Caenorhabditis elegans: one gene and its partners. The protein of the gene in region 2 interacts with the protein of the main gene of each other region in a pairwise test. Each region holds a gene or a part of one and is shown on either strand. Other genes may lie near its edges. The genes, in order: egl-13, C46H3.2, taf-12 and paic-1.

What was found.
Region 1: the proteins of C46H3.2 (region 2) and egl-13 interact in a two-hybrid assay, tested with the Caenorhabditis elegans proteins (one large-scale study listed by BioGRID).
Region 3: the proteins of C46H3.2 (region 2) and taf-12 interact in a two-hybrid assay, tested with the Caenorhabditis elegans proteins (one large-scale study listed by BioGRID).
Region 4: the proteins of C46H3.2 (region 2) and paic-1 interact in a two-hybrid assay, tested with the Caenorhabditis elegans proteins (one large-scale study listed by BioGRID).

What each region holds. Positions count from the first base shown.
Region 1 is NC_003284.9:5,662,150-5,666,857, forward strand, and holds the start of egl-13 (Transcription factor egl-13), read left to right. Parts: upstream 1-1,687; 5' UTR 1,688-1,761; intron 1,762-2,215; exon of another isoform or gene 2,216-2,355; intron 2,356-4,338; exon of another isoform or gene 4,339-4,531; intron 4,532-4,708.
Region 2 is NC_003284.9:1,227,755-1,232,668, reverse strand, and holds the start of C46H3.2 (Caskin-2), read left to right. Parts: upstream 1-1,910; 5' UTR 1,911-1,922; coding exon 1,923-1,968; intron 1,969-2,264; coding exon 2,265-2,408; intron 2,409-2,562; coding exon 2,563-2,708; intron 2,709-3,146; coding exon 3,147-3,242; intron 3,243-3,517; coding exon 3,518-3,628; intron 3,629-3,681; coding exon 3,682-3,798; intron 3,799-4,914.
Region 3 is NC_003281.10:11,863,275-11,871,110, reverse strand, and holds the start of taf-12 (Transcription initiation factor TFIID subunit 12), read left to right. Parts: upstream 1-1,829; 5' UTR 1,830-1,836; coding exon 1,837-1,932; intron 1,933-2,255; coding exon 2,256-2,388; intron 2,389-4,904; coding exon 4,905-5,086; intron 5,087-5,390; coding exon 5,391-5,486; intron 5,487-5,978; coding exon 5,979-6,164; intron 6,165-7,508; coding exon 7,509-7,712; intron 7,713-7,836. UniProt on the Caenorhabditis elegans protein: Part of the general transcription factor complex TFIID. Plays a role in recruiting taf-4 to the nucleus and thereby activating transcription initiation by RNA polymerase II, as part of the TFIID complex.
Region 4 is NC_003280.10:4,369,123-4,374,539, reverse strand, and holds paic-1 (Phosphoribosylaminoimidazole-succinocarboxamide synthase), read left to right. Parts: upstream 1-2,014; 5' UTR 2,015-2,024; coding exon 2,025-2,120; intron 2,121-2,632; exon of another isoform or gene 2,633-2,702; intron 2,703-2,906; coding exon 2,907-3,395; intron 3,396-3,692; coding exon 3,693-3,869; intron 3,870-4,197; coding exon 4,198-4,482; intron 4,483-4,526; coding exon 4,527-4,727; intron 4,728-4,769; coding exon 4,770-4,793; 3' UTR 4,794-4,915; downstream 4,916-5,417. Other genes in the region: ntl-2.1 (NOT2/NOT3/NOT5 C-terminal domain-containing protein), read left to right, coding at 46-172, 223-376, 438-653, 1,138-1,594; try-9 (Peptidase S1 domain-containing protein), read right to left, coding at 4,922-5,137, 5,229-5,356, 5,402-5,417.

The DNA of each region.
Region 1 (4,708 bases), 4.4 Mb from region 2:
GTCATAAATCTTGAATTTATCAGGGAGCGATAATTTTGCCAGCTATGAGACATAAGAAAAACCTCCAATAGTAATTTTTCATATCAACTTGTAAGAACATAAACATTAGTCACATCACGCGTTGTGCAACAGTATTTGAGTTTGCTTAGAAAATCGGAATACTAAATGTCTCAATCTCAAATTCAAGTTCAAGCATAGATCTAAAATTTTAACATTTCGATGTGTTTTTTCAGTTCTTGTGTTTTTAACAATTCTAAATATGCAAACCTATTTAATTTACCTAGTTATTCAGGGTGGTTAATAACTGTGTAAGTTCACTTGTTTTAATATCTCGTTCCAAAAACAGAAACGTTGAGTTACTGCAAAGTGGTCGCCATAATTATGGGCGACTCTGTATATTCTTGAACTAGAAAACCGTATCTTTACGGTTTCATTTGTGATAGCCTTTTGACCTTATTTTATATAGACTTATATAAGAGTTCGTATACTCTAGGATTTTGTTGTATGTAGTAACTAAGATTTTTTTTAATATTCCAAGTTCCTAGATGTCATAACCTCTCACTATAGTTAGAACTTTTTGGCCTACTTAAAATTTCTAGGCTATATTGAAATACAATTTCAGTGTGTTTCAATATTCTTTACTGTCAAAAGCTAAAATGTCCACCTAAAATACATTATGATTGATTCCCGTCCTCGTATTGCGATGCCCTCTTAGTCTATCATAAATGCATTTCCGAATCTTCGAAACGAGGTTGAGTAGGTGCATTGTGTCAACTAAAAGAAACATTATGGAATTGTTGCAAGTGGTTCTCGACCTATTACCATTTCGCGTTCTTTGGAAAACTTTTGCGCCATTGGTCAACACATCCAGTTCTGAAGAAGCGCGGGTCCCCACCGTGTCTCTCCGACAACACACCACCACCACCCACTTTGCAGAGAAGAGGGCACAGTGTGTAACTTATTGTGAGACGATTCAGAGGACAAACAAATTGCGTGGTCAGTTTTGTTTTCAGGTGGGGTGGTCACTCTCTTTCATTCTCTTCATTGTGTGATGGAACACAACTACCTTGAACCACTTGTCTGATACCAGTTCCCTCTTCCAATCACCTAGACAACCAATACCAGCTTTTTCCTGTTTTCTCCCTCTCTCTTCTTCTCTTGGTTCAAAGTTTGTTGTCTGAAATTGCCAGTTCAATTGGGTCACCATGTCTGAAACTAGTGACCAATGAAATTTCGTGAACAGTCCAAAACAAAAAATTAATACCATAGGCTTCCTTGTGGGACAACTAGTTATATTTTCTGTTTGACTACTGAACTTATGTTTCTCTAAGTGTTGCTTTCTACTTTCAACCAAACATTTTTTTTCTCATTTTTCCATTTTGCCCCCATCTTTTATTCACTTGAACCTTTTCTCTTTTCTTTTTCTTCTTACCCTCAAAGGACAAATCGTGAGACTATCCTCAATTGAAGAAAAGGAATTTCTGATATATATCTGTGCAATATCTTTGTTCTCCTTCATAATTCACAATTCATTCAGCGCGTGTGAATCGTTTGAATTAATAATGCCACTGAACTCAAATAATCGGCCTTTTTAAGTTTCTCTAGTTTCAATTTCTAACGCTTTTGATTCTTCTTTTTCAATGTTTTCTTCAGGCTTGAATTTACAAACGCAAATTTAAAATTCCAGACACTCCAAATAAAATCAATACTCCATAATACTGCTGGATCAGTAACAACAATCTCCCGAATGGCTCTATAGTGGTGAGTAAGAACTAGTTTCCGTTCTAGTTTCTACTGTGCCATGCTCTTTCCCCTTTTAATGTTGTGAGCACTGTTTTGCTTTTTCATTGAAATAACAAAACAAGTAGAACAAGTATTTGCACCAGCAAGCATCTGGTAAGTATTCTCTTCCTCACCAACTTTACTTTTCTCACACTTTTGCCTATATTTGCGCATTTGGAGCAAGAGCAACACTTCCAGATTTGGTGACAGATTTCAAAGAATTATTACTTTGTCTAGTCTTATTTTCTCCTTGTCGTGTGCCGTTGTTGATCATAATAATAGTAGGCCAAATCGCCGCACCCGTCACTGCTCATGATCCCTTTAATATCCTAGCTAACTCCGAGTTTATCATCATGTGCCTCCTATGGGCACTGCCAATTCCATAAATAATTGTTTTTTCTTCTTTTCTATCTATCCTTTGTGTTATCCTTCTTCTTCCATACTTTACCTTATCAAATATTCATGTATTCTTGACAGACTGTAAGGGATAATTGGAGATCTCGATGATGAATTATCCTTGCTCTTGTGTTTGCAGTTTTGGTAGGGTGTATATGTCAATTATTTCTTTTGAATACTCTATTGAGAATCTATTGAAACCATACTCTATTCAGCTTGAGCTTCAAGGGAGAAACATGCGAGTGATCATTGACATACTTGATTGTAGTTAAAAACCGCATTTTCCGTATTAAACTTGCACCCCAATGGATTTACCTCGTATATCAGTCTTCTTAAGTTTTACCAAAAAATTATTTACTGTTGAAATGTACAAAAACATTTTGCACATAATTTGCCAACCGAGATAGAAGCTGTCAAAGTAAAGCAATGAGAGTACAAGACTAATACATTACAACTAACGTCTATATCATCCCTTTTCTAATCTGGGAGTTTGGTGCTTCCAAATTATTTTCAGAAAAAAACGTCAGCACAGTTTGATAGCAAATGCTGCAAAGGATATGCTCCCCCAGTTTTATGATGATACCTGAAAATTAAGTAAAAATTTTGTAAAAAAAACATTCATCCAACTTCTATAGCACTCATCGGATTTTTTGACAGGGGCCAGTTCTCGGCTCCTCATAATTTTCTCGTTTATTGTTAAAATTTCGAACTAAACTTTGAGATATAAGTTGTGAAAATCAAGGACCATAGGTTTTCAACATTTTCTATTGAACTGTACTAACACCTTTTCAAAAAATATTTTCAAAAACACCAAACTCTCAAATTAGTGGGGTGGTGCTATAGACGTTGGGCACACTGTAGAGAAATATTTGGTGGTATATTAGGTCTCCAAATAAGTTCCGGGTCAAAAGTCATAACTTTGTTCGCTGCGTATCGATTTTTATGAAACTTTGGGAATTCATGTTATCAACTATGATCTTTCATTTGACAATAGTCACAAAATTTTTTGACCACCCCAAGTGCCCTAACTCGGAACCAATTTTTTCAGGCATTTTTCTGATCTCGCTTCTTTTCAAATTTCAATTGAGGTTCATGGTTACATCATTTTTGTAGGAAAAATCTAGAATTTTCGACAAAAAATTTTTTTGAAGATTTTTTGACGACCAACCAAAAAAAATTTTTTTGGACGGATTTTTTCAAAACTTTTGTTGTTTTCTAATAATGTATTCTAAACAAAGAAAAATCCGCACACAACCCTCAATTCAAAGCTGAAAATAAGCGAGATCAGAAAAATGCCTGAAAAAATTGGCTCCGAGTTAGGACACTTGGGGCGGTCAAAAAATTTCGTGACTATTGTTAAATGAAAGATTATAGTTGATAACATAAATTCCCAGAGTTTCATGAAAATCGATACACAGCGAACAAAGTTATGATTTTTGACCCAGAACTTATTTGGAGACCTAATATATTTGATTTACCTTTTTTTGAAATCTTTCTTATTTGTTGTGCATGAGACTTAACTTTTTTTTCATAAACTTATCACACAACAATTCTTCGCAAAACACTACAATCGAACATCATTCCTGCTCATCAAACATCTGCGCTGTCCCACTGTCCCAGTGTCTCATCGCTCGTCAAGCCTATCAACATTTTTTGTCCCAAACTAAAAGTGCAATGAGAGCTCCATTGTATTGCACGAAAAGTTTCTCAGTTTCTCAAAAAGTGTGACATCGAGAGAAAAAGAGCACCGTTGTTTCGAGGTTCAGCCGCCACAAGAGCCAGTTGTCACCGGCGCCCCGGATACACGGAACAAAGCCATGAGACGTATGTTCTATTAGGTGTTCAACTATTGCTAACCTGTCACCTGCCCCGACATTATTTGATTATCTATTGTCTCGTTAATTGATGGTAAGTAGAGTGTGTGACACCTTGAGAAACGATTCCACAAATATCACCATTTTGAACGTGTTGAAAATATCCGTCGAACTAACGTTTGTACTCGTAGTATCACTTTTTCCTATCCGTTTTTCGTGTTTGAAATCTTTGATAGGAAGATAAGACACAGGGAACCCCGAGCTCTTGATGGAACAATGCCTGCCAAGATGTTTGTCAATTGTTGCATCTTCCTGGAAGACGACAAAAGTTCCCCCGTTTTTCATCTTTTCGTCCCACTCTCATACGAATCTTGAACAGAAATTGTTGCGAAAATTTTTTCTTTCAAAAACTGACCTCAAATCAGCGGAAGGAGTCACTTGTCACACTTGTTCTTCTTTTATATATCACACTTAATAACACCTATCTTTTGTTGTCAAACCAAAACGGAGCTCTTGTAATATTCAATATTGAACGAACATTATGCCCTTTCCCATTTGACAAATAGGCCTTGATCCATCCTGCTCTAGACTATAATCGGCTTAACCAGGCCTTGCTCATAGATTTCGATTCTTAGCCCCTGTTTCCTCCATCCCCACAACAACAAGTTATCCAAGGGCAACATCGATGAATTGTGGAATTTGATACTAACGGTCCC
Region 2 (4,914 bases):
ATGAGTTGGTTTAAGCAGCAAAATTAAATAAATAAATTGGTCAGTTAGCTCTAAAATTAGGTCAGTGCTTTCAAAAAATTGGTCAGTGCGTTTCAACATTTGGTCAGTGCAAAACTCAATTTAAAAGTTTATTTTGCCATTTTGTTTTATTTACTGAACAGACATATTTTTGTTCTAAACTCCAAGTTTCCAAAGTTTTCAGCTATTCCCCTATTGTTCCTCAATCGTTTTATGAGATTAAAATTTGTGAATTCAAATAAATCATAGATTTTCCCATATTCACCCCTTACATCGCACTGACCCTTTTCGTCACCACCTGCGAAGAAGTGAGATGATATGACAAATGATCATGACAACAAATGTACATACACATTTATTGATGGAGAGACACAGATTTTGGGCGTCCGAATTCCCTTGTTCAAATCTCATCTCAAGGTCTCTTATCTGGAAAACGGAACATAATAATGATAACAATGAGATGATGATGAAGAGGAAAAGGGCGTTTATGAGAATTAACATTTTTATTCTTTTTAAGTTTTATATGTATCTCTCGAAGGAGTACAGATACAGGGAAAATCGTCACAAAAATGATTTAATTTTGCGATTTTTTTAAACACAAATATCTTGGATGGTCTTGAGACGACAAATGTTTGCTTCACTAATTTTTCATAATTTCTTTTTTTTTTTCCTCTAACTTTCTATTTTATTCAGTTTGCATAAAAAATTGTTGGCCGAGACCGGGTACCGTATCAAAACAAACTTGCTTCGTTATAAAAATTAATTTTTAGATATGTTCCAGAAAATATTCACAAAAACCTTTTAATTTATTATTTTGGTCAGTGCAGAAAATAAAGTGGTCAGTGCACTCTAAGGTTGGTCAGTGCAAGAAACTAATAACAAACTTTGTTTGTGAACATTTCTAGTCTGCTTAAAGTTTTTTAAAAAGAAAATAACCAAAAATAATTTAAAAACGGACAAACTCATTTTTGGCAAACGAAAAGAAAATTTATTTCAAAAAACAAGCTTAATCTTTTTTAATATCATTATTCTGTCACTTGCATGACGCGTCCACTAAATTTGTAATTTTTTCCTTTTTTCATATTCAGTTTTTTGACTTTGTAATGGAAATACAAAAATTATAGAAAATTAATTTTTTCGAATTTTTCTGAAAATATAATGGAAATTTCTGAAGGTAAATTATGTTTCTAAAATTATTTGCCAGTAAATAAAATAAGAGAATTAAAAATGGAAGTTTGGAAAATTACGTTGAAATAAAAAATATATAAAAACGATTTTTTTTTTCTTAAAAGTTTGTTCGTCGGAAATTTCAACAAAACCAGAGCTTTTGATTTATATACTTTAAAAAAATGATTTTGAGAATAATTAAAAATAGCTTATTTAAATTTCAACTCTGGTCATTTTTAACCAAGCTTTCCAAAATTTTAAGTATTTTTATAGTAGCTGTAGTTTAGAAGGCTCAAGCGTTTCATAATTATAGTCAATTCCAAAACGATAAAATTTGAATAGTTTAAGATTTTTTTAAATTCGGTATATATTTTAAGGAAATTTTTAAAGCCCATTACTAATTATTACGATTCTTTTTTTAAAATTTGTTTTCCTTGATCTTCTTGAGCCACAACCGCCACAAAAAAATAGCAAAAGTGGATTGTATTATTTGCGTAGATTTCCATTCGTTTGTTATCACAAAAGTCGTCGCCCTCTCTCTACCCCCCGAATATCCACCCGTACCTTTTGCTGTCTTTCGTTCTCTGGCGGAAGTACTCAAGTGGAGAAGGGATGTGCACTAAAAATGTGTATTTTTGTGATTGAAAATGCTTCTTTCTGCAGTTTTTGATGTTTTATCCTTTTTTAGAATTCGGTTTTTTTTAAATATTTAGTTAAACTTGCAGAGATCTTTTGGTATGTCCAGCAAAAAACTTCTTAGGAGGTTTTCATCAAGTATATCAGGTGGGTGAGATCATGTGGCAGAATTAACATCAAAAGTGGAAAAAACAAGTTTGGCGTAATTTCTTATAAAAATTTAAGGATTTTAGCAACTCTAGGCATGGTCAGTATAAAAAATACTTGGTCAGTGACATGGTCAGTGCTCCTGTTAAAATAGGAGCAGAAAATTGAGATTGTTTGGTTTTTGAAAAGAAGCTCAGTTTTTCATTTTTATAATTGTAAAATATATGTTCTTAAAAATTTTTTAACTGAGAAAAAATAATTTCTGGGAGTAAAACACTTTTTTTCGTTTATTTCAGATCTTCTTAGCATACCCAAAAGAGACCTTTGTGATAATGAAGAATTTACACCTTTACATAATGCAGTCAAAATGGGAAATACAGTTATGGCAAAGAATTTTATAGATTCGAAATCAGTGTGGATAGATGAGCCGGATTGTAGAGGTAATTTGAAATTTCTTAAAAAATAATAGTTTTTGCAAAATTAAAAAAAAAACCCGTTTTGAATTATCAAGCATTTTCTGAGCGGCAATTTCAAAATTCGACTTCAAAAAATACTAAAACGTGCACCAAACTGTATTAAACTTTCAATTTTTAGGCCAAACTGCTCTCCACTTATCCATCACCTACGGTGATACCGAAATGACGTCACTTTTACTGAAAGGCGGTGCAAACGTGGATTCCGTAGATTATGATGGAATTTCGGCATGTCATATTGCATGTAAAGACGGTATGATTGATCATGTAGGTTTTTTGGATTGGAAAAGTTATGTGTCAGTTCTATGGGACCCCATCTTTTAAAAAAATGGGTAAATAAAAAACTTTTGTAATGAATTATTGCTTTTTTCGGATTCAGCATGTTAATAAATTATGCTCCCAAAAATCTCAAACACTATTCTATCACTGACTGAAAATATATTAACTGCGTCAGTTTTATTTTGTTTTGAGACCCTTTCAAAAAAAAAGTCACTAAAGTTCTAGATTTTTCGAATTGAAAAAAAAAACAGAAAACTGTGTTAAATCAGGGATTCTTTATTAATTGAAAATTGAGAAGTTACGTAAAGTTTATAAAAAATGGAAGTTTTTTTAAAGCTTTTTTTAATAATGACAGAATTAAGGGTGTATAAAAATGTTTCAATTTAAAACAAAGTAATTTCATTAAAGTGAATTAAAAATTTTCAGTTTAACCTACTCATCTACTACCATGCAGACATTTGTTTAGTTGACAGAAGTGGAAGAACACCATTCGATTTGGCATGTGAATATGGACAAGAAAAGGTTTGCTACCTACTAGGGAAGGAGGCGCGGTTTCAAGACCGGACGCCTGCCAAATATCTGCACTTATTTTTGCACTATGGCGAGATGCAAAAAGCTTAGTGTTTATACCTCATAGTGCAAAAAGTTGATCTTTCAACGCGGCCGACACCTTTCGGTTTTGCGTCGTACCATACAAGAGGCGCGGTTTGCGGCACGAGATAGACACGGCAGTTCTTTTGCCGCCTGTATGGATGCCCTACTACCTACCTCTTGCATTGCTAAACAGGAAATTTCAGATGCTGGAGCGATTATTCAGCTGTGGCCTAAGAAAGATCAATTTCCAATATATGGACCATCTCCACACAGCTTCGGCATTCCACCTGGCGGCTGGAAGTGGTCAAGTTCAGGTTTGGCAAAATTTTCAGCTTACTAGAAATCTAGGCTAAAATTAAATTTCCAGATTTTATCAATGTTACTTCAACACAATTGGGATTTGAATTTTGTGACAGAAAGCGGGTCGGCTCTTCACATGGCAGCTGGCTCTGGACAAGTTCAAGTTGTTCGGTTTTTGCTGAATGTAAGTGCCTAATTTTTTATTGTTAATTTTCCAAGTTGAATAAAAATGGCTATCTGTTATTTTGTATGCCAGAATTTGTGTAAAAACCATTGAACGAAAACTTACATAGTTCAGAATAATAGAAAAGCCATGGTCAAAATCTTTGAAAAATCAAATTTAAAGATGTAATGGCTACTAGCTTTTAGTTAAAAAAAATCAAATTATTACAAGAGTATTAACTTTTCCATTTTGAAAAAAAAGGAATAAGTGGCTTAATTATTTTTAAATTCGTTTTCAAATGAATGCAAAATTTTACATTTCCAAAAATAAAGTTACGTTTAAAAACGATATTTCACTTTTGATTAGAAAATTTCAAAAACCGATGTATCTAAACATAAAACAGAAAATTAAAAATTTACAAAAAATCCATAAATTACATATGGAGCTCTAGAAATTATTCAGGCTTTCTAATTTTTCATTTGCGAAATTTAAAAAATCAATAAAAATTCAGAAAAGGTTAATGTATCTATTTTTAAAAATATTCACCAATTTCGGTCTATTTTATTTTTTTTAACTCCGCAGACCACTCTGATACATCTTTAGCTAGTTTCTAATTTCTGAAATTTTCAAAAGGAACTATTAGGTTGGTCGAAAAGTCTTTGCAAAATTTGTACTTTTCTTCATTTCTCAGCGTTAATTCATTTTTTTCTGATTCGGTTTTTTTTGCATAGTACGTAATGTGCATGTTTAATATATTAAAAAAAAACTTTTGGGTGCTGTTCAAAATGACCGAGAATTTGCTCGCCGAACGTCACGCCCTCCGATGGGTTTTTCTGTACGAGTTCCCCCAAATCTGCAATTGCAACGAAGCTCGTCGTAACATGTGTGCAGTGTTAGGCAAGAACTCTGTCACCTATAATACCATGAAGTTTTGGTTCGAAAAGTTCACGAAAAAGAACTACGATCTCGATGATAAACCAAGATAAGATCGCTCTCGTTTGAATATCGACGAGGATATTTCGAGAGCCCTGGAAGATGATCCAAGAGCAACGAACCGCGAACTTTCTGCGACTCTCAAGCATCCCCAAAAAACCATCATCAACCATCTCCACGAAACCGGAAGGGTAGAAAAGTTCG
Region 3 (7,836 bases), on a different chromosome or scaffold from region 2:
CTAACCGATTATACTAACCGATGTCTGAATAATAATATAAGCACAAAAAATTAATACCCACCGTTCAAAATCTGACTGAAATTCCAGTTTTAGTTTAGCTCCCAATTAATATGTATTCCAATTTTCAAAAAAATTATTTTATTCAAAACCAATCACACAAATTTTTTAAAACTTCACCAATATACTAATTGATCTTTGAATAATAATATAAACACAAAAAATTAATACCCACCGTTCGAAATTTGTCTGAAATTTCAGTTTTAGTTTAGCTGAAAATGAATAAAAATTCAAATTTTCAAAAAATTATTTTCTTCGAAACCAAACACCCAAATTTTTTTCAAACTTTACCAATTTACTTACTGATGTCTGAATAATAATATAAACACAAAAAATTATTACCCACCGTTCAAAATTCGACTAAAATTCAAGTTTTTCTTTAGCTGAAATTTAGTAAAAACTCAATTTTCAAAAAAACATTATTTTAAAACCAAACACCCAAATTTTTTTTTAACTTTACGAATATACTCGATTATGACCGAACAAAATTTTACGCTAATATCCAGTTTTACTTTGACTTTTCAAAACCCTCATGCGCCTTTAAACCTCGGTGTACTGTAATAACTCGATATTTTAATTGTTTTTATTGCCTTTTCCTCAACCAATGTTAGATAAAATATGTTTTTCCATTTCCAGTGATCACATGGTACAGTTATATTCAATTAAAGAAAACAATCGCGGCGAGACCCAAAAATGTACTTCCCAATTCGATCCCAATTCTTTCGCAAAATAATGACAGAGTGGACAACAAAATGTGACATGTTTGTTTTTATAAGACGTCCGCCGTCGTCTTTTTTCTGTTTACTTGCACTTCCTCGCAACGGCGTGGCCTAGGTTTTCCCACGGCCACGCTCATTTAGGTTCTAATAAACCACACTAGTGAGAGAGAGAGAGAGATAGTTGCGAGAAGAGACGGAAAAGAGCTAGAGAGGTCTCTCGTTCTCTTCATTGGCCTCAATTTCTCGCCACCACCCCCTACGTCTCTATTCCCCCAATGTCCTACATTTTTCGGATCGTTTTTCCCTTATATCAGAATCTGCCTAATTTTACGAGGTTTCGGCGCATAATATTATGTGCAATTCGAGAATAAAACTTTGAATATTTATTAGTTTAGGTCTTTTTCATTGATTTTTTCCAATAAATTCAATTTGATTTTAAATTGCTTGAAAATCGCCACCGTATCACTTTAAAGGCGCATTGCTGTTGTTTAACTTTGGGTCTCACAGCGAACCGAGTTTCAGTCATTAATTTTGATTTTTCCTTGGTTTTTTTTAAAAGAAAATTCTCAAAGTTAAAATTTTCACTCGGTTTTAAAATTAATAATAGCTAGCAACTATAATTCTGGAAAAAACATAAATTCACTTTAAATTGCCTAAAAATACAACCGTATAAGTTTAAAGGCGCATTGCTATTTTTAAGTTTGGGTCTCACAGCGAACCGAGTTTCAGTTATTAATTTTGACTTTTCCTCGGTTTTTTAAACTTTATTTGAAGAAATTCTTCAAAATTAAAATTTTTCTCGTAATATTTAATCAAAAATAATAATTAGCAACTAAAAATTCGGAAAAAAATAGAAATTGCTTGAAAAGTTTCACCGTATAACTTTAAAGGCGCAATGCTTTTGTTTAACATTGGGTCTCACAACGACCGAGGTACTGTGGAAAATTTATCGAATTTAACGAATTTATTCATTTTTATGAATATATTTCCATTTTCCTCGGTTTTCCGAAAGATTTTAAGCTTTAAAATCATCAAAAAAAAACTTAGTTGCAGATAAAAAATGAAAATGGAAGAATTCTCACCTCCAACTTCACCGAATAATCACGTAATCGTGCAGGCGAACCCGCAAATCGCCGCCGCTCTCTCCACGAATTCTGTAAGCGATTTGTGTGTCCGCTCTCTAATTATTGCTTTCTGTCCCAACAATGACTCACCGGCCAGCCGACAAAAAAAAAACAAAAAAAACGAATAAAAATAATAAAAAATCGGAGCGCCTCTCCGTTTTTTTTCCCCCGTAAACGTCCAAAGTGTATGTGTATTATTCTCATATCGATTGTGCTTCTCTTCTTCCCCCGACAAAACCATTTCCATCACAAAAGCTTCTCGTCGTCCTCTGTCCATATATATATATATATTTACTAATACTAAAAAATGTGGCCCTACCATCATGGATATCACGTCTATCACCCACATTTTCAGCCAATGCAGCAGGGAATTCCGCCACAAGGCCATCAGAATCCCAACGAACAGCAGCAGCAGCAGCAGTTTGTGGGCCAACCGCCGATGGGTGGAATGGGCGGCCCGATGAGAATGCAGATGCCACAGCAGCAAAGTATGAAGAAAAAACTCCTAAAAAATGCCTCAAATTCAGAAATAATTCCGTGAAAAATGAAAAAAAAATTGCTCAAAATTTAGCTGAAATCTCCAATTTTGTCCTATTCCGCCTATTTTAGTCGGCTATTTTACGTTTTTTCCGAAGAAAAAAGAAAAAAATCGCGAAAAAGTGAAAAAGTTAACTCGAAAAACATGATTTTTCGAATTACCTCCAAAATGAGAAATGCCTGAGCAATCAGCGATTCGCTCCGCCCACTTTTCGACCAATCAGGTAGATTGGGCGGAGTTTGAAGATGCTGATTGGTAGGAAAATACTCGAAAATTGGTAAATTAAATATTTAAAAAAAGCGATTTTTAAAATGGAATTCTTTGAATTTTTTAAAAGCGATATCTACATTTACACAAAGCCGCCTTAAATTACACCTAAATTAACGAAAAACGTGAAATAAATATGCAAATTAGGATGAAAATTGAATAAAAATCAATTTCTAGCCACCCTGGCACCGAAAAAATGGAGATTTTCGCTAGAATTAGGCGATTTTCGGAATGTCTGGTAGATCATGGTGTGATCTACAAAAAATGCGGGAATTTTTGGCCCAAAAAAATGTGACGTCAGCATGTTCTTAACCATGCAAAATCAGTTGAGAACTCTGCCGCATTTTTTGTAGATCAACGTAGATCAAGCCGAAATGAGACACTCTGACACAATGTGTGGTTAGGAAATTCGGAAATTCAGCAAAATTGGAACAGCGACCAATCAGCGACCGGCTCCGCCCACTTTTGGACTAATCAGACGGAGTGGGCGGAGTTTGTAATCGCGATTTTCTCCGTTTTTTTTTTTGTGGTTTTTCTGAATTTTAATGTATTTTTGGATATTTTTAAAGAGAGTGTAGTTGAATTTTTTTTTTATTGCTGTATTAGACTCAAAATTGTCTGAAAACATCGAATTTAATAATGAAACTTCTTGAAAACTTTTCAGGAAAAAGTTATGATGGCTCAAAAAATGGCCTAAAATTAGTGCATTTCTTGCATTTTCAACTTGATTTAGGTATTTAAAAATCAATGGACGGCGAGATTTTTAAATTTTTTTAACGATTTTTTTCCGTTTTTTTTTGTGGTTTTTCTGAATTTGAAACTATTTTTTGGATATTTTTAAAGGTGGTGTAGTCGAATGTTTTTATTTGCTTTATTAGACTCAAAATTGTCTGAAAACACCGAATTTCATAGTGAAACTTTTTGAAAACTTCTCAAAAAATAAGTTATGACGGCTCAAAAAATGACCTAAAATTAGTTAAAGTTTGAAATTTGACCAACTTATCAATGTCGCAGCGGCTGGAAACATTTTTTTTTGAAATCACCGTCAAATTTTGAGTATATAAGTTAATTACCTTGTGTTTTAAATTTGATTAAGGTATTTAAAAATCGATGGACGACGAGATTTTTAAATTTTTTAAAACCAAATCTCGCCGTCCATCGACTTTAAAATACTTAAATGAAGTTGAAAACGCAAGATAATTAAATTGTATACTTAAAATTTGACGGTGATTTCGAAAAATTGTTTCCAGACGCTTGGCTAGTCGGTAAAATTTCAAATTTTAACTAATTTTAGGTCATTTTTTGAACCGTCATAACTTATTTTTTGAGAAGTTTTCAAACAGTTTCACTATGAAATTCGGTGTTTTCAGACAATTTTGAGTCTAATAAAGCAAATAAAAACATTCGACTACACCACCTTTAAAAATATCCAAAAAAAATAGTTTCAAATTCAGAAAAACCACAAAAAAAACGGAAAAAAAATCGTGATTTTCAAATTTTACTAAAATTAGCTCTCCGCCCACTCCGTCTGATTGGTCCAAAAGTGGGCGGAGCCGGTCGCTGATTGGTCGCTGTTTTAATTTTGCTGAATTTTCAAATTTCCTAACCACACATTGTGTCAGAGTGTCTCATTTCGGCTTGATCTACGTTGATCTACAAAAAATGCGGCAGAGTTCTCAACTGATTTTGCATGGTTAAGAACGTGCTGACGTCACATTTTTTGGGCCAAAAATTCCCGCATTTTTTGCAGATCACACCATGATCTACCAGACATTCCGAAAATCGCCTAAAATCTCCATTTTTTCGGTGCCAGGGTGGCTAGAAATTGATTTTTATTCAATTTTCATCCTAATTTGCATATTTATTTCACGTTTTTCGTTAATTTAGGTGTAATTTAAGGCGGCTTTGGGTAAATGTAGATATCGCTTTTAAAAAATTCAAAGAATTCCATTTTAAAAATCGCTTTTTTAAAATATTTAATTTACCAATTTTCGAGTATTTTCCTACCAATCAGCATCTTCAAACCCCGCCCACTCCGTCTGATTGGTCCAGAAGTGGGCGGAGCGGTACGCTGATTGGACGATGTTCCAATTATGCTGAATTTCCGAAAATCGCCTAATTCTAGCGAAAATCTTCATATTTTCGGTGACTACACCGTCTCTTTAATAAGGCTTCTCATGAAATAATTCGTAATTTTAGTCCGCCAAATGCCATACCCATCACCACAAATGCGTGCGGGCCCTCCACCACCACAGCAGCAGCAGCAGCAACACTTTCAACAAATGGGTATTCCACAACAGCAGCAGCCCCAACAATTCACACCGAATGGGCAATCAATGCAAATGCAACAGAGACCAATGCAGATGGGCATGGCTCAAGGGGTACGGGGGCGGTTATTATCTGGGAAATTTGAATTTAAAAAAAGCTTCCGTTTGAGACCCAAGAAAAACCTTTTTTCGGGAATTTGGGTCCACGGGATCAAAAATCTCTGAAAAATTGTTCTAAAAAATGTTACAAAACAATTTCTGCAGTGGAGCAGCGGAGCAGCGGTGAAAATTTCAAGGCTTGTATAATTTCTTCAAAAAAAAAATTTTTTTTTCGCATATTTTGGGCATTTTTAAGACTTTTTCTGCAGTTATTTTTGGAAATCCGCTTAAAAATCCTCTAATTTTAAAATGTTTCCAGCCAGGACCATCTGGACATTTAATGGGAATGGTCGGAGGGCCTCCGCCACAACATATGATGCAGCAGCAAGGAGGTGGTGGACCACCACAATTTGTGGTGAGTTTCCGGCAAAATCGGCAAATTGCCGGAATTGAAATTTCCGGCAAATCGGCAAATTGCCGGAATTGAAATTTCCGGCAAAACCGGTAAATTGCCGGAATTAAAATTTCCGGCAAATCGGCAAATTTCCGGAATTGAAATTTCCGACAAAATCGGCAAATTGCCGGAATTGAAATTTCCGACAAAATCGACAATTTGCTGAAATTAAAATTTCCGGCAAATCGGCAAATTGCCGGAATTGAAATTTCCGACAAAATCGGCAAAATGTCGGAATTCAATTTTCCCGCAAATTGCCGGAATTAAAATTTCCGGCATATCGGCAAATTGCCGGAACTAAAAAGGCAACGTTTACCGATCGAGCTCGTAAAAAACCGGCAAATTCGCCAAATTTGTCGTGGCGTAATATTTTTTGGAGCTCAAAAAGAGCCCGATTTAATGGAAAAACTATAAAAACCATTAGTTTTGGGCAAAATTTTTCAAAATTTCCAGCCAAACTCGTCTCCAATGCCGCTGCCTCCTCAACAAATTATGCAAGTACAACATCAGCAGCAACATCAGCAGCCACCACCATCTCAACAAATTCAACAGCCTCCAATTCCACAGCCACAACAGCAACAGGCACCGCCACCTCAAATGATACCGGCCGCTGTTCCGTATGGAAGTATTATGGAAAAGGTGCAACAAAAAACCGGCAAAAATACTTAGAAATTTCGGCAAAAAAACCGGCAAAAATACTTGAAAATTTCGGCAAAAATACTTGGAAATTTAGGCAAAAAAACCGGCAAAAATACTTGGAAATTTCGGCAAAAAAACCGGCAAAAATACTTGGAAATTTAGGCAAAAAAACCGGCAAAAATACTTGGAAATTTCGGCAAAAAAACCGGCAAAAATACTTGGAAATTTCGGCAAAAAAACCGGCAAAAATACTTGGAAATTTAGGCAAAAAAACCGGCAAAAATACTTGGAAATTTCGGCAAAAAAACCGGCAAAAATACTTGGAAATTCCGGCAAAAAAATCGGCAAAAATACTTGGAAATTTCGGCAAAAAAGCCGGCAAAAATACTTGGAAATTTAGGCAAAAAAACCGGCAAAAATACTTGGAAATTTCGGCAAAAAAACCGGCAAAAATACTTGGAAAATTGATTTTTATTTAATTTTGAAATTTTTTCAGAAAAAATCGAATAAAGCTCAGATTTTCCGATTTTTTTTCAAAGAAAATCGAAAAAAATTCAGGTTTTTTCAGGAAAATTTAAAAAATTTTCTGATTTTTTAGTTTTTTTTTCAATTACAAATTTCTCTAGCAAAAATTCGCAAAAAAAAAATTTTTTGGATTGTCTTTTCATAGAAAATGAGCAAATTTCAGATTTTTCGGTCTTTTTTTTCAGAGAAAATAGGAAAAAAAATGCACAAAGAATTCACGGAAGGGGACGAAAAAGCTATAGATTTATCAAAAAATATGCTGATTTTTATTGAAAAAAGTGATTTTTTTTTTCTATAAAGTATTGAAAAATGGCCGGAATTTATTGAAAATTCGATTTTTTTTAAACGAAAAACGAAAATTTCCAATTTTTCAATACAATTTTTAAATTTTTTTTTGAACTTTGAAAAAAATTCGAACTTCTGCATACACTAGTTTTTGCTTTGCTCCTGAAAAAATAATGAAATTAAAAATGGAATTTTTTGTAAATTTGCTATTAAAAATTCGATTTTTAAATTTTCACTGAAAAAAATGCCTAAATTTTTGGTAATTTTTCTTGTAAAAATTCTTGTAAAATTAAGAGTTTTTGTTTAATTTTCTAATTAAAAAATTTTAAATTTTCGATTTTCAAGATTTTCAAACAAAAAAATCGAAAATTATAACAATTAATAAAAAAAAAAAAAAAAATAGCCTAAAATTTTCGTAGTTTTTTTTTTTCAAAAACTCTATAAAATTTTTTTTTCCGATTTTTTGATTTTCACTGAAAAAACCGAAAATTCTTATTTTAAAAAATCTTCTTTTTTTTAAAATTTTTTTTTCAGTCAAAACTGGATGATTTGATGCAACAAATCAGCTCAACAACAGTACTCGAAGAAAATGTAAAAGATGTTCTTGTGGAGTACGCCGACGATTTTGTCAGTTCTCTAATCGATAAAGCATGCAAAATGATCAAGAATCGGGAGGTGAAGAAAATTGAATCACGGGATATCGAATTTATTCTCAAGAATGTCTATAATATGCCAGTGGTACGGCGTTTTTATTACTGATTTTTATGTTTTTTTTTGATATTTAAAATGGTCTAGAAAATACGGATTTCGTGAAAAAAAAATTAGAAAAAAACGCCTAGTTTTAGCTAAAATCTCTAATTTT
Region 4 (5,417 bases), on a different chromosome or scaffold from region 2:
AATTTCTGCGTCGATGACAATCAAATAATCGATAAATTATTGCAGATGTTAGCAGACGACCATCAAGTCGACTTTGCTGGACCCCTAGGCGATTGTGACCCCTCGCGGCTCAGCGGGATATCAAGAAATAGTCAAGAAGGACCTATGCATGGGATTATTACTCATCCTGATGGTGGGAATACTTTAAAAATAAGCATTTAAAATAATAATTGTTAATTTCAGGCGAAGTGACAAACATTCCAGCGTCAATGCTTGACGATCAGTTTGGGATGGCGGGTTTGGTGACATATCTTCGGACAGTTGACAATCCTTCCATTGTTTCACTGGCGTTAGGTTATGATCTTACGACGTTGGGCTTGAATTTGAATTTGTCAGAGTGAGTAGTGGCCTGAAAAGCCCGAAAAGCCCAGAAAAACTCTAATTTCCCTCTGTTTCAGACGAAAATTGTACATGAACTTTGGTGGTCCGTGGGCCGATTCGCCGATTCGAGCACACGAGCTCGACGTGAAGGTGCCCGAGGAGTACATGACGCATAATCATATTCGAGACAAACTTCCACCGCTGCGATTGAATAAAGTTTCAGAAGACGTGTTATTCTATCTTTTTTACAACTGTCCAAACGAGATTTATCAGGTGGCGGCGGCGTGCGAATTGTAAGTAAAGTTTATTCCAAAAACCTGCATCGACCATGACCGCGAGCGGAGCGTCGTGTTTAAAAAATTTATTTTAGTTTTTTTTTTTCCCCGAGAATTTGTGATTTTCATGAATTTACATATGAAACGCATAAAAAATTGGCCAAAATGATAGAAAATCACTCGTTCTGGGCGAAAAACTTTCAAGAAAATCCGCTTTTTCGTTAAGATCGCATAATTGTTCATCATTTTAGTTGATTCTTATTTCGCCTCATATATAAATTTATGAAAAATCATGTGAATCACGCGTTCTTAGCGAAAAGTTAAAATAAAAATTATTGAGCCGCTCCGTTTGCAGTTACGTCGCGGTCGAAGTTCACGAATCAAATTATTAATAATTTTAAAATTTTAGCTAGAAAATTGAAAAAAACATATATTTTATGTTAGCAATTGAGAAAATCTTTTTTATCACGAAACAATCATTATATTTTCAAATTTTTTGCAGGTACGCTCGCGAATGGCGATTTCACAAAAGCGAACAGGTGTGGTTGACGCGTTCTCAGTACGGTGGAGTGAAAGAACAGACGGGAAATTATGAAAAAGGGCATTACAACGTGTTCGATCAGATGCAATGGCGAAAAATTCCGAAAGAGTTAAAGTTGGAGTACAAAGAGCTCGAGGATCGGCCGAAAATGCCGCAATCAGTTTCCGGACAACCGACACCCTACAAATACTTTTTCCAAGGACCACAATTTCCGAGCGGTCCGGAGACGGGTCTGATGCTTCAGATGCATAACTTGACGCTCGGCACAGGTGGCGGCGGTGGCGGACAAATCACTCCACCGGCACCAGCGGGTCTTAACGGAGTTATGGGTGGTGGTGGTGTTGGAGCAGCTGGAATCGGAGGAATCAATGTGCAACCGGGAGCCGTTCCATCGGCGGCGCGAGCTACTCCAAACTAAACAAGAAGAAGATGATCTCTCGTGTGCAAATTTTCTATATCCCACTTTCGTCATCTTGTTCTCGAATTGCTCCCTTTCTCTCTCATTTTCCATCTCTTTTTCCCCTCTTTCTCTCCACATTTTCTCTCCCAATCTCCCATTTTTTTCCTTCGTTTTCCTTATTTTTCCTCTTTTCTCTACGTTTTCGTATAAACGATTATCGATATACACAAGTTGCTCTTTGAAAACCTGTGATTTTTCAAAGAAAGAGCTTCACAATGACTGGCGGCGGCGGTTTTCTCTGTATTTTCAGTGGCGCAACACCGAACTGATAAGACGGGGAAAAAGGCTGAAAACAAGATGTTTGTCGATGACAAACTCGCCTACAAGGGGGTTCTGATATCGTTCCGTGATAGCAACACAGTTTCATTCGATACTATTATTGTTTGTCATGTCGTCGTTGGCTGAAATCGCGTCGAGACCCGAAAACTTGGAGCTTCTTGCTGAAGGAAAAACCAAGCAAATCTTTGATATTAAAGGAGAAAAGGTTGGTTTTTTTCACTGAAAATTCAAAAAATTTGGGAAAACATTAATTTTCTACTAATTTTTTAATGCTTTATAGATTAAAATTTAGATATTTTAAAAGCGCCTTTTGAAATCGTGATGCAAACGCGCTCCGCGAGTAATCTGACAAGCTCCGCCCCAAAACGTTGGGTCTCGTTGGGAACGTGAATTTTTGACGATCTCACCCAATTTTTTTTGCATTTTTCAACATAAAAATCGTTAAAAACAACGAGAAATGATTGGAAAGTGCTGGAATCGGCAAAAAAGTAGGATTATACGGTTTTACCGCCAATACCTAACGAGACCCGGTTTTCAGTTATCCGTGGCGCGCTTTTGCAGCCCAAGTCACATTTTTATGCGTCTACATAATATTCAGAAAAGCGTGTCCTAGAAACACGAAAACTCGGCCAACCGAATTATCAGAAGAGATTTTTCAGAAGTATGCTCAAAATAATCTTTGAAAGAAATGTTCGGTTTTCACTGTCGGTGAGTGGCCGAGGTTTCACGTTTTCTAGGCCACGCCGCAAATAGCCAGCTTGTGGCCTAGGAAATGAGAAAACTCGGCCACTCTTTCAGCACATTTTTCAAATACACGTACGGAAAATTTCCTGTAAAAACGGTGTCTGAGCTTTCACGGAGCCTAGAAAAAACTCGGTCAATTTCGTAAATTTGAAATCTATTTGAATTTTTCCGTTTGGATTGCGATAATAATGTGCTTTTCAACAAAATTGAATCCAACTTTTTCAATTTCTGAACAAAATCTTTTCAGGATTATGTGCTCATTCGTTCCAAAGATAGCTTGACCGCATTCAACGCTGTCCGTAAAAATGAGCTTGAAGGAAAGTCTAGAATCGCAAGTAAAACCACATCAAACGTGTTTGAATATCTTCAACTTCTCGGTCTACCAACACACTTTGAAAAAAGCATCTCTGAAACTGAATTTGTCGCCCGTAAATGCACCATGATTCCGATTGAATGGGTGGCACGACGTGTTGCGACAGGATCCTTCTTGAAGAGAAATCCTGGAGTTAAAGAGGGTTTCAGATTTAATGATCTGAAATTGGAGACATTTTTCAAAGACGACGCTAATGATGATCCACAATGGACTGATGAACAAATTGTGTCGAATGGTTTGATGATTGATCATTTGAAAATTGGAAGAGAAGAGATTTCATTGATGAAGAAGATGACAAAGTTGGTGTTTAGAGCATTGGAGAAAGGATGGGCTCTTTCAAATAGTGCTCTGATTGATATGAAGGTGAGGGTGTTGCAAAGTTTTTATTATTCTCTTTTTTTTTATCGGTCTCAACTTTAAAAAGTAAACATAATAAAAAGTATGTAAGTTTAATGTTCGGTCTGCAATATATTCGTTTTGTAAATATTTACATTTTGAAAGGAAATCAGCACCATTTAAAACTGGGTGTTTTCTGTAACGTGTCGATTTACGCAGCTTGAGTACTTCACGAGGAGAAGTGTGTTTTTCTTTTCGCTGAATTTTACAATTGTCGGTTGTTGTAATTTTGAAATAATTTTGAAGAAAACCTGAAAATTCCAGATCGAATTCGGAGTCACAGTTGAAGGAGAAATTCTCCTGGCCGACGTGATTGACAATGACTCGTGGAGAGTTTGGCCTGAAAATGATAGACGTCTGCAGTTGGATAAGCAAGTTTACAGGGATATGAAGGAAGTGACAGAAGAGGGGTTGGCTCTCGTTTTGAAGAATTATACAAAGGTTAGTAGGCCGAAGCTTAGGCCTAAGCATATGCCTATGCCTGAGCCTAAACCAAAGACTAAGCCTAATCCTAAGTTTTAGCCTAAGCCCATGTCTAAGCATAAGCCTAAGCCTAAGCCTAAACCTAAATTCAATCATCCTATATATCAATTGTTAGATTTTTACGCGAATCAAACCTTTCGTGTAAGCACAATAACTTGCCTGCCTGCAAGGCGATCTGCACCTGATTTCTGCCAATATGCATACCTACAATTTTCGGTAGACACGTTGAGTAGGTAGGCAGGCACATAGACACGAAGGCGTATCTACCTACCAATAACATTTCCAGGTTATGGATATCACTGCCACCTTCTCAAAACACCAGCAAAAATGCCATGTTCTTGTGATCATGGGATCTGGTTCGGATGGCGTATTCGCACGGAAAATCTCTGATGAAGCCAAGAAATTTGGACTGGAAACTACGCTGAAAGTAAGCTCAGCTCATAAAACTACCTCGGACACTCTGGAAGTTATCGCTGATTTCGAAGAAAGTGGAGTTCCGACAGTTGTGATTGCAGTAGCTGGAAGATCCAATGGACTCGGTCCAGTTATTGCTGGAAACTCGTCTCTTCCGGTAGGACTTGAAAGATCAGATGATCTTTATTTCAAAGAATTCAGGTGATCAACTGCCCGCCACCAAGTGAATCAACGAGTCTTGACATTTGGTCATCACTCCGAATGCCGAATGGAATCGGGTGTACTACAGTGTTGGACCCATCGGAGGCCGCGCTTGCCGCCGCAAAAATCCTCGCGTCTCACAATCATATTGTGTTTGGAAAAGTGCTCACTGCACAGCTCAAGAATCAAATCAACATTTACGTAAGTGATAGAGATGTGAATTTCTAATTTTTGAACTTTCAGAACGCCAATCGCAAACTTGAATAGATGCAGGACTGAATTGAAATCAGATTTTTCAAAAACTTTCTTGTGTAAATTAACTAATTACTCAACGTTCACTTTTATTTCAGCATTCTTATATTAAAAACGAAATGAAATGTTTGAATCTTAAACTTTCAACTGCACATTCCACAGCACGTGCAGAAGAAATCCACGTGTGCCGAGACATCCACGAGAAGATCAGTCTCTTGAGTCAGCTGTCTCCGTTGCTGACGTTGACGATTATGGGTATCGTAGAGTTCTGGACAAGGCATTCCGGCTGACAAAACACCTACGAGAACTTGAACATTTCGAGTGTCCGATGTTCGGACAACTCCCGAGCCACTGTCACCCTGGAATCAGTGGAAACTATTAGGCATCTTGGGCAAGTAGGCATTGTTCTGCCTACTTCTGAAGAAACACTTTTAAACTTTAAAAACAAACATCACAAGACAATCCTCTATTCACTGCCGACGTACAATACACCCCGCCATATGGGAAATCGTCGGAGCACTCCGCAACAAACGAGTATAGCGATTTCAACTTTCCAGACTCCAAAACACTATCCGAAGCTGGAATTAAAAATTTCAAAAGATCACATAAAAATCGGAACTTACGATCTCTTCCATAACC